Linked DNA regions of Cricetulus griseus. The protein of the gene in region 2 binds, or shares a complex with, the protein of the main gene of each other region. Links are inferred from orthologs where the notes say so. Each region holds a gene or a part of one and is shown on either strand. Other genes may lie near its edges.

Region 1 (4,166 bases), on a different chromosome or scaffold from region 2:
TCTATTGCAAGGAGAAATTTTCTTCATGGGAGATAAGGACTACACTTATATATGTATATAAGGACAAATACCTAGAGTGCAGTTAGGGATTATGCTGGTTTAGTAAAGTGGTGGTAATAGGTTCTCCTTTAAAATCAGTTCACTAGTCCGGGGGAGCTGGCTAGGTTTCAGGAGTGATTTCTTTCTTGTTGAGTGGGTCTTAAGTCCAACTAAAGAATTGTTGGTTACCACTAAGGTATTCATGACACTAATTCACCCTTAAGGTTATTTTGCCATGGTGGTCATTTTTTTATGGTTCTTAGGCATCACAGCTGGGTATTACTGATGGTTGCTTCCCTCTTTTGGAAGCTTGTATGGCACCTTCTGTGATCATGAAAGATAATCAATACTTGGGTAGAAGATTGTCAGGTCAGTTAAAGCTCAAGCCTCTGAATCTCATGTCTGAAGTACATGGTATCTTCAGCAATATAAACTTATCATCACCTCTGGGGGACAATAGCAATAGAATAGCCTGTAATGTTTGGGGAGTCTCTTAGACAACCCTGACCAACTACTCATAAGAGGGTTTCTCATGCCTGGTGTTGGGATTTTATTAGATTTTTGTATTTGTATTGTTTTGCTATACATCTGACAGAGTATTTTTGTAGTATTTATCCTTTTTGAACTAACAGGATAAGATGATGAGGCTGTAAACTGCTCTCCTCAGGCAACTCAATCTGGTTCAAGAAGCAGTATTAAAATTCTTCAACAAAATGCCTTTTAGATGAGTTGACTTCAATGCACACTTTTCTTCTCATTTTTTCGGCTTTGTGGCCTTAATAACCTAGGTGGAGAAAAAGATGTAGACTGAGATGTCATTGATAAATTAAGTCTTCTCTACTTCCAGTTCCTGTGTTCTGGAATGTACCTCCCTTCTTATTGTATCTACTCACCCTCCCCCGTAGCCCCTTAATTCCTTCACTCTTAGATGACTCTCCTGAAGTATATATGCTCCAAACACACATCCCTACATAATAAGAGCATAGATAAAGTTTTCTCAGGTCTCTATATAAAACCTACAGAGAGAGACAACAGTCCATACAAACACTGTTGAGTGGAGGGGGAGACAGCAAAGCTGTGTCTATAGGATAACAACAAGGGTGTGATAGCTTACTTAACTGCCCTGGACTATGATATATGCACGAATGGTTGGACTGCCTCAGAAATTTGTTTTCCAGGAGTTTACAGTCTGACTTGACTTCTAACAGCATCTGTCACAATATTTGTGCAACTTCGCACAAGTTGCCTTCATTAGACTTAGACTGTGTTCAAGAAAACTCACTGTGGAGTTGAAAGGATGGGAGGGGGAGAAAATTGTATGTGAAACCTTTGAGTTTGTAATTGTGTGCCTAGGATGTGAATGTTCTAAAGCCAGGCTCCTTGGTTCTGTGAGATCTGTGAGATGCAGATGTGCTCACTACATACTGGGGCTCTTCTCTATCATATCCTGTTCAACAGCCTCTTTTCAGATTTCTGACAGAAAACATAAAATAATGTCCTCTTCTAGGAACTGACATCCTTCCAAACCTTAAAGAAGCTGTGGGGTCCCGATTTCAGCTGTATTTTCTCTCCACTTTTTGACACCTCAAAGAAGATGAGTCTAAGTTTATCTCCTTCTTCGCATTTTACTTGGTTCTGGTTTCCAAGCACCAGCACGTCCATCTCCTCCTCTGTGTTGTCATGTATTCTATATAGGACTCTATCCGTTCTTTGCTCTATTATCTGTGAAAGGAAGACAACAACCAAGCTCTGCTGAGATGACTAAGGAAGGGCAGCATGTACATCAATTGTCAGAGGAGACAGGAGCAGCTTTCCAAAGGAAACATGAGGAGCAATTCCAGCTTCCAAACTAGAAGGATTCTACCTAACGGATATTAGCAAGTCCCATTGAAGGGGGTGGGAGAGTCTTACTAAAAGCATGTTGCTTCTTGTGTACATCTTTCTAGTCCCAGGCTTTTTTTCCCTTCTGGGAATCCAGGATGGCTCACAGAAACAACTAGTAGACAGGGAAGATAGGTCTTCTCCAGGGCCAGTATACAGGAGGCAGTCAGGGGAAAAGGTGGCTACCTTGTGGCTAGGAGAAAGGTCACTTAATGAAACAAGTCCAGAGAAAAACTAACTAACAGTAAAAGACCTAGTGAAGAAATTTAAAAGTTAAAAGTCAAGGACAAGAAATCATTCACAATCAAGTCCAAATGATAAGGGACCAGATGCTGGTGACATACATAAAATATGAACAGCATTTGACAGTCAGTTTTATTGACCACATGATTAGACATTATGGGTAGTTGACCAAACAGAACATTCAAAATTGAGAGGTTAAAAAGAGGTATTTTTATGCTTGAAATTTCCAAGGAAGATAATTTTCTCCTGTTACCATTTCTGATGGGACTAGATAGGTCATTTGACTACTGAGTGCAGAAATCAACAAGTTCCCTGTACTAGAATCTATACTAGGCCAGAAAATTTTTCACACAAGCATAGTTTTTCCTGATTCCTGTGTGGTAGTTTGTATGAAAAAGGCCCCCACAGGTTCATAGGGAGTGGCATTATTAGAAAGAATTAGGATATGTGGCCTTGTTGATCTTGCTGTAGGAAATGTGTCCCTGGAGTTGGACTTGGAAGTTTTAGAAGCTCAAGCCGCGTCCAGTGGCTCACTCTCTCTTTCTGCTGCCTGTGGGTCCAGATGTAGAACTCTCAGCTACTTACTTCTTCTGCACCGTGTCTGCCTGAATGTCACCAAGCTCTCTGGCATAGTGATAACGGAGTAAACCTCTGAACCTGTAAGCCAGCCCCAATTAAATGTTCTCCTTTATAAGAGTTGCTGGGGGGTAGCCGGGCGTTGGTGGCGCACACCTTTAATCCTAGCACTCGGGAGGCAAAGGCAGGCGGATCTCTGTGAGTTTGAGGCCAGCCTGGTCTCCAGAGTGAGTGCCAGGATAGGCTTCAAAGCTACACAGAGAAACCCAGTCTTGGAAAACCAAAAAAAAAAAAAAAAAAAAAAAAAAAAAAAAAAAAGGAGTTGCTGGGGTCATGGTGTCTTTTCACAGCAACGGAAACCCTGACAAAGACAACTGGCATCTAGCTAGGATTTCATGCTAACTCTTCCATTATCTTCATTCAATACTAGGTCTTCTAACCCCTGCTCATCAATCCTCTAGTTCATCAATGGGCACACATCTGCTCCAAACAAAAGAGACTTTGAGCACTCAGGAGGCAGAGGCAGGCAGATCTCTGTGAGTTTGAGGCCAGCCTGGTCTTCAAAGAGAGTTCCAGGACAGTTCCAAAACCTATAGAGAAGCCCTGTCTTGAAAACAAACAAACAAACAAAAAGTGACTTAGAATGTGGATGGTAATAAGTGTGTAACAGCAACACAGAGGTGGAAATAGCTGTGTCTGTGTTTCAGAGGTTACAAGGGTAAAAACATAAATAAAAGTGGCTTCAAAATAAACCTTCACTGGCTGTTGTGGCATGCATGTGGATCCCAACACTCAGGAGGCAGAGGCAGGGGAATTTTGGTAAGTACCAGACCAGCTAAAGCTACACAGTATAAGACTCTGTCTCAAAAGACAAAACAAAAAAAAATACATATTAAATAAAGCTTTTGTGAGCTTTGCCCACAAGTTTTGGCAAATTCTCATCCTGCAAATCTTAATTTTATTAAATTGTTTTTTCTGATTGTTAAAATTGTTTAAACCCAATTATTTAATTGATTTTAATTGCTTCATATTTTATATAGGAAGAAAAACATTGAAACATAATTTCTAGAATTCCATTAAAGCTTAGAATAACTATTGTATTCTTTTTCCCAGTCAATACAGAATTGCATACATGGACTTACCTTCTGGACTTTAAAAATCCCATTCACAATTGTTCCAGGAGGCTGAGTCTTCAGCTTCTTAATCATGGGAGTTCTCCCAGCTTTATCTTTGATGTTATTTGGAACACAGACTTGGTGGTCAGCATCAGCCTCAACCACAGTTGAGGAGCTGGTCACCTCTAAGAAGTTATTGTACCAAAGATAGTTTGATATTTTAATTGTTCTCTGTGGGGTAAACTTATCTTTAAACTGTGCATCTAAAACTTTTACAAAGAAAAAATTCGTCTCTGTGGCCACCGTTGCATG
Region 2 (5,881 bases):
AGCCACCTGTCACTCCAATTTCCCTCCTCTGGCCTCTGCTGCCACCGCATGTATGTGGTGTATACACACACTCACAGGCAAACACTTATAACACATAAAATACATAAATCTAAAAACAAAATAAAACAAAATCTGACCCTAGGCCATTCAATCTTTACCCTTAACTTTTTCAGCCTGACCCTAGATGGCCCGATCCTGATCTTTGACCTTCCTGACCTGAACTTTGAACTTCCCAACTTGACCCTAGGCCATCCGCCCTGACCCCTGACCTCCCCAAACTGACTTTGACCTCTCATACCTAGCTCTTGACCTCTCCGACTTGAGTCGTAGATCATCCATGTGTTCCCATCATAGCTCAGGAGGTGCCTGTTCCTCATGGCGTACAGGTGTGGGTTCACCTCTTTGGCTGTCTTCATCCCCAGAGCCTTGGCGATGTGCAGGGCCCTGTGAGGCCCGCTGGTCTCCAGGAATCTGATGATTCTTTCATCTGCAAGTGAGGGGCAGGCGTTCAGTAGGAAGAGGGCCCTGGGCTTGCGTCTGCCCAGCACCCACTGGCTGTAACCTGGGGCGCTTATGAAGCCCAGGGGCATGGTCTTGCTTTGTTTGAGGCCCATGCTCCTACTGGGTACAGTGTCACCTGGAGACCGGATATGTGCATGAAGCTGGCTCAGGCGTGTCAGCGCCTGGAAAATAAAGCACTTCTTATCCATTTGGAGCCTTTGGCTTCTGACACCGAGTCTGGCCTCTGAGATTCTTGCGAAGCCTCGGTGGTGGACATGATCCCAAACACCCTTTCCCCTTGTGCCCCTAAGAGTAGTTTGGGGAGGCCTTTGGTGTGCACTGAGCTGAAGGCCAGGACTCCCTGGAGTTGTGCCTACAACTTTAGGGTCTTGGGGCTGGAGGAAGAAAAATGTGTCCATTGGAGACAGGAGACGCTCTGATCCACTGAGCAACGGGAACACTTCCACAGGACAGCTAGGGGACAGGACATTAGGCTGGGGTCCCAGGGTTTCACATCTGCTTGGGTCACAGCTGCTGGCTGCAGAAGGGCAGGGTCTTGAGGCTGCCTCCTCTCCTGGCTCCAACTGCAGGAGTTGCTGAAGGCTAGGTGGCCTTGGGTACAGCATCAGCAATGGAGCTGTGAGCCCTCTCTGCTCAGTGGCTCCGAGTGAATCCCTACTGTCATTGTGACAATTGCCTGGATTGTGCCTTTACTATTGCTAGTGTCTACCTCACACCTACCACGTACAAGCCCTATTGGTGAAAAGAAATCAAAAGATAAAGAGAGGATGGCAGAGCTCAGATTTGAAAGCCAAGCCTGAACCTGGACTTGCCCATTGTCAAGATGGCCCTTGAGGGGAGTCTGCTGTGCCCCCAAATGACAGATTACCGAGGGTGGGCTGGGCAGTGGGGTCCTCAGGGATTGCAGGAGCCTCATCTCCAGGAGCATCCCTGCCTAAACACCATGTGGCAGGGGCTGGTGAGTGAACTTTTCCCTCCTTCTTTAGGCGGTAAAGGACTTGGTTGAGTGTTTTCTTGGGCACTTGGCACTCCTTTACCAGCTTGGGGAGCTTCACAGAGCCGCCGGCTCCACTCAGTATCTGTAGGATCGTTTGCTCCAGATTGTCTTGGGGGAGGAACAGAGAGAAGAGTCAAGCCCAGCCCCCATTGGAGGCTAGCACCCATCTCCAGAGGTAAGAAAGATACGAGAACCCAGAGCCGACAGCATCGAGGAATCACTGAGAGGCAAGAGTGTCAGACTGAGTGGACCCTGGCCCCATGGCTGAATGGTGGGATGCACTCATACGGCAGAGGAGTGTACATGCTGTCCTGTGTATTGGTGTGGAACCCCAGACAGGTAGGAGCCCTCAGCTCTCAGATGATGGAGCCAAGCCTGGCCCGGAAGCCCCTCCACGCTGCCTGGTGCCTCTTCCAGCCTGTATGGAGAGTCCCTTTCTCTCCATCTCCCATGGATGCCATGGGCATTCCTAGGTCTCCCTTCCCATTCCAGGTGGATCAGGAGCCCTGAAAACGCAGCTCAGATACCTCCCACTTACTTTTTTCTCCCTTACCCCAGCCTCAATGACATCTTCCTGGTAGCATTACTAGTCTCCCAGGTGACCACCAACTCCAGAATGGTTCCCTCCAGCACCCTCTACCTAGAGATCCGATGGACCTCTGCTCCCTGCCCAGCCTCCTCTGCGCCTGACCCCAAGAGCCACCCAAGTTCCACCTCGTGCTCCTTCTGGTTCCTTCCATCTGCCTGCTTCTACCTTCCTTTGTTTTTCCTCTTGAGACAAGGTCTCACCATATATCTCAGGCTGGCCTGGAACTCACAGCAATCCTCCTGCCTCAGCCACCCCCTCCCCTGCTGGGATTATAGGGCTGGGCTTCCACTCTGCTTGCTTTTTCTCTGCTGGGGCGTGTATGTCCTGCAGTGGGCTCTCCTGCCCTCCCTTCTCCCACTGACTCCTAAGGGCACACAGGCAGAGCTTTCTCCAAAGGGTGAGCATGAAGGAATGGATGGTGGTGACTGGCTGGCAAGGAGAGTATTAGGAAGCCACAGGGACCAGGTGAGGGTTAGTTTCTGGTCTTCTCCACCTGGCCCTGAACCTGCCACTGCCCTGGCTCCTCTGCCTTTGAGCAACATGCCCTAGCATGGTGCGAGAATGGAAAAGGGTGACTTTGGGGGCTGCAGAGATGGCTCAGGAGTTAAGAGCAGTGGCTGCCCTTCCAGAGGTGCTGAGTGTGGCTCCCGGGAACCACGGAGCGGCTCACAATCACCTAGAATGAGACCTGGTGCTTCTTTGACCAGAGCACAGCCGTGCATTCAGGCAAAACACTGTATACACAGTAAATAAGCATATCTTTAAAAAAAGTTTCGAAACAATGAAGAAAAGCAGTAAAGTAAATCCTGTCCACAGCTGCACGGCCCCGATAGCCTCGCCTCATACAGTCTTTCACCCACAGCCTCGCACTGCCCTGTAGCGGAGAGAAGAGCATGAACATAGAATCAGAGCCAAATCTTCTTATCAAAACAAAGTCCCCTCTCACAGTTCAGAGCCTGAAGCCCATCGAAGGCCTCAGTGACCTGTCTGTGAGGTGAGAGCTACCACTTGTGCCTGAGGGCTGTTAGGAACCAGCCTAAGCAAGGGTCAAAGTGTGACGCACAGGGTCCCCGAAGCAAGCTAGCTTCTTGTGGTGCCTGCTTCCTGAGCTCTGATGTCCTCAGAATATTGCTGCTGTCTGGGCCAAGCAAAGAATTAGAAGGAGCCTTAGAAACCAGCCCAGGGTCCACGCTGCGTGGGGGAAGGAAGAGGCTCGCCCGGCTTACCTCCTGTGCTCGGATCAACAGCAGCTTCTGCCATGCTCATGGCAACCTCAGGGCACCTTTGGGGCGGGGGGTGGCAGATTCCCGAACTGTGGCCAGGCCTGAGGCCGTGTCCACAGAAGAAGAGCGGCTTCTTGGAGCTGCAGACACCATATGTTTCCACCCCGGAAACGAGCACCCATCTGGCTCCATCCACCCAGCTTTCTGGAGAAAGAGAAAATGAAACTTGGTGGTTCTCGAAAGAAACGTTGAAATCAGGGTGGGGTGAGCAAGTTGGAGCTGAATAAATGACGGGGATGAGAGGAGTCTTGGCCTCTGGGGTGGGAACTGCCTATCTGGACTCCCACTAGGAAAAAGGTACCTACTGCGCATTCCCTACTTGCTGACAGGGCAGGACTAGTACTGTCATCCACATACCTTCTAGAAAAGGAGCCCCTCACTTTCATACATTCTCAAAGAGGTCAGTGGTCCTCGAACAGTTCGGACATCACTCTGTTCCAATTACAGACTAAGGGACTGAGCTCACAGAGATGGCCTCGTGCCCACAACTCAGCCTACAATAACCCTGAATCTGGGTCCCAGCTGCAGGAGGGAGGTCCTTGGCACCGGTTAGCATTAGTGCATAGGGCATGACAGGAGCAGGAAATGGAGACCAGAAGGAGGTATATATGTACCTGCAAAATGTCTGCAAAGCAAGCTGCAGGTCCCCAGTCAGCCTTGTCACTGGACAGGCCACGGCCAGGCCAGTTCCACACAGCCAGTTCCACCGGCCTGTGCATGGGGAAACTTTAAAATTTCCAAATGATTTTTATGACTTCCAGGGGGAAACCCAGAGCCTGCAGATGCAGCTAAGGGAAACAGAAAATTGTACAGCCCGTTGAGCCCCCCAAATAAATAAGGTCACCCTTTAAACACTCAGCTGAGCCAGTTGAGGGACATCAGGCTCCCTAGAGGGGCTATTTGGGGACCAACCACTAGGTGGTGCCCTCTCATCAACCGGCTCTTGCCTGGGGGTCTTGCTTGGTCCTTGGCCAAGGTGGCTCTGGCCCTAGAGGGCTGGGCTTCAGGACATGCCATGAGAACCTGACACTGGGGTTCTGCTGTGAACATCTCAGCATTCCCTATTCTTTATTGTTTTTAATTTTTGAGACAGGGTCCCACTCTGTAGCCAAGCCTGAATTCAGATTCTTGACCCCTCCATTATCATTTCTTGAGTGGCAGGACTGTATCACAATACCTCTTGGACAACCCCCCACCTCGTCCCCCCAGACAAGGTTTCACTGTGTAGCCCTGCCTATCCTGGAACTCGCTCTGTAGACCAGGTTGGCCTGGAACTCACCGAGATCCGCCTGCCTCTGCCTCCCGAGGGCTGGGATTAAAGGCGTGCTCCACCATTGCCTGGCCAAAATCCTTCTAAACTTTTGGATTATTTCTTATTCTTTGTCTTTGTTTAAGAAAAACCTCAAGCCAATTTTCAATGCTGGGATTATCCCAAGCCTCCACAGCTGTGGACTGGGCAGATGGACCTTTTCCCTCTTGTGCATGACACAAGACTCCAGGTACTCCAGATTTGGTGCAGCCACCCGGCTTCTTTTTAAACTGTTGCTCTGCCATTTGTAGCCTCTGTGCTTAAGTTTTTCAAGGGTTGCTGGAGTTCCACCTGTCACACATGCTCTCCTTCTGGCAGGAAGGAGCAAAGGACGGGTATCCTAGGCAGTTTCAGCAGGCAGCTGAGTACAGGGCCATCTGAGGGAGTCTCGGTTGCAGGGTTGCCCAGGTCTGATTGGCTGTGGATGTGTCTGTGAGAGAATTATCACGGTTGGTGTGAGAGGACCCAGAACACCGTGGGCAGCATCATTCCTAGGCTGTGAATAAAAAGCTGGTTGAGCATGAGCCAGGAAGCAACATCCTCAACGATCTTTGTTTCGGGTTCTCACAGCTCTTCTTTCTGAGATGGGCTGTGAACTGTACGCAGAAATAAACCCTTTCCTCTCCAGCTGGGTTTTGTTTGTTTCTGTCATAGTGTTTATCACAGCCGGAAAAACTCAACAAGCACCATGGACATCTCCCTTTAAAGATCACATCCTGCAGGCCCCAAACACTACTTCAGATCACAGCAATATCTATCGCAACAGATGTTGGCAGAGACCTAGGTGTCCTTGTCAACTCAAGGCTCTTCCTCTGCATGGAGGCCGTCTCCTGCCCCACCCAGCATTTCCCAGCTTCTTTCTCTAGCAGATGCTACTCTGAGTCTGATGGGGTTCAAGGCCAATGGGGAGGGAAGGAGGGAGGGAGGGAGGGAGGGAAGGAGGGAAGAAAGGAAAGAAAGCAGGTAGGTGCTTCCTCCTCCAGGCTAGGAAGGGCCCAGACATACAAATGGCATGCCAAGCTGCTCTCTTTATCCTGGAGAGCACGCTCCTTCCAAATGGCTCATGTTTTTCTAGAAACTATTAGAACTCTCCGCCCAAAGCAGGGGATAATTACATGTTACTGATCTCGAGTCTTCAGGTTTTGTGATCTCTCTTTTAAAAGAGAGATATTTTTACCACA

Evidence for each region. Proteins that work in one complex are often made in the same cells at the same time.
Region 1: Zbp1 (region 2) and interferon-inducible protein AIM2 share a complex: the UniProt entries of both Homo sapiens proteins name them as parts of the AIM2 PANoptosome complex. The link is inferred for Cricetulus griseus from reciprocal best matches to the Homo sapiens genes ZBP1 and AIM2.

What each region holds. Positions count from the first base shown.
Region 1 is NC_048598.1:19,526,463-19,530,628, forward strand, and holds part of interferon-inducible protein AIM2, read right to left. Parts: coding exon 3,882-4,166; intron 1,762-3,881; coding exon 1,567-1,761; intron 824-1,566; coding exon 794-823; 3' UTR 1-793. UniProt on the Homo sapiens protein: Sensor component of the AIM2 inflammasome, which mediates inflammasome activation in response to the presence of double-stranded DNA (dsDNA) in the cytosol, leading to subsequent pyroptosis.
Region 2 is NC_048599.1:6,098,046-6,103,926, reverse strand, and holds the start of Zbp1 (Z-DNA-binding protein 1), read right to left. Parts: upstream 3,881-5,881; 5' UTR 3,749-3,880; intron 3,536-3,748; 5' UTR 3,375-3,535; coding exon 3,335-3,374; intron 1,628-3,334; coding exon 1,391-1,627; intron 488-1,390; coding exon 299-487; intron 1-298.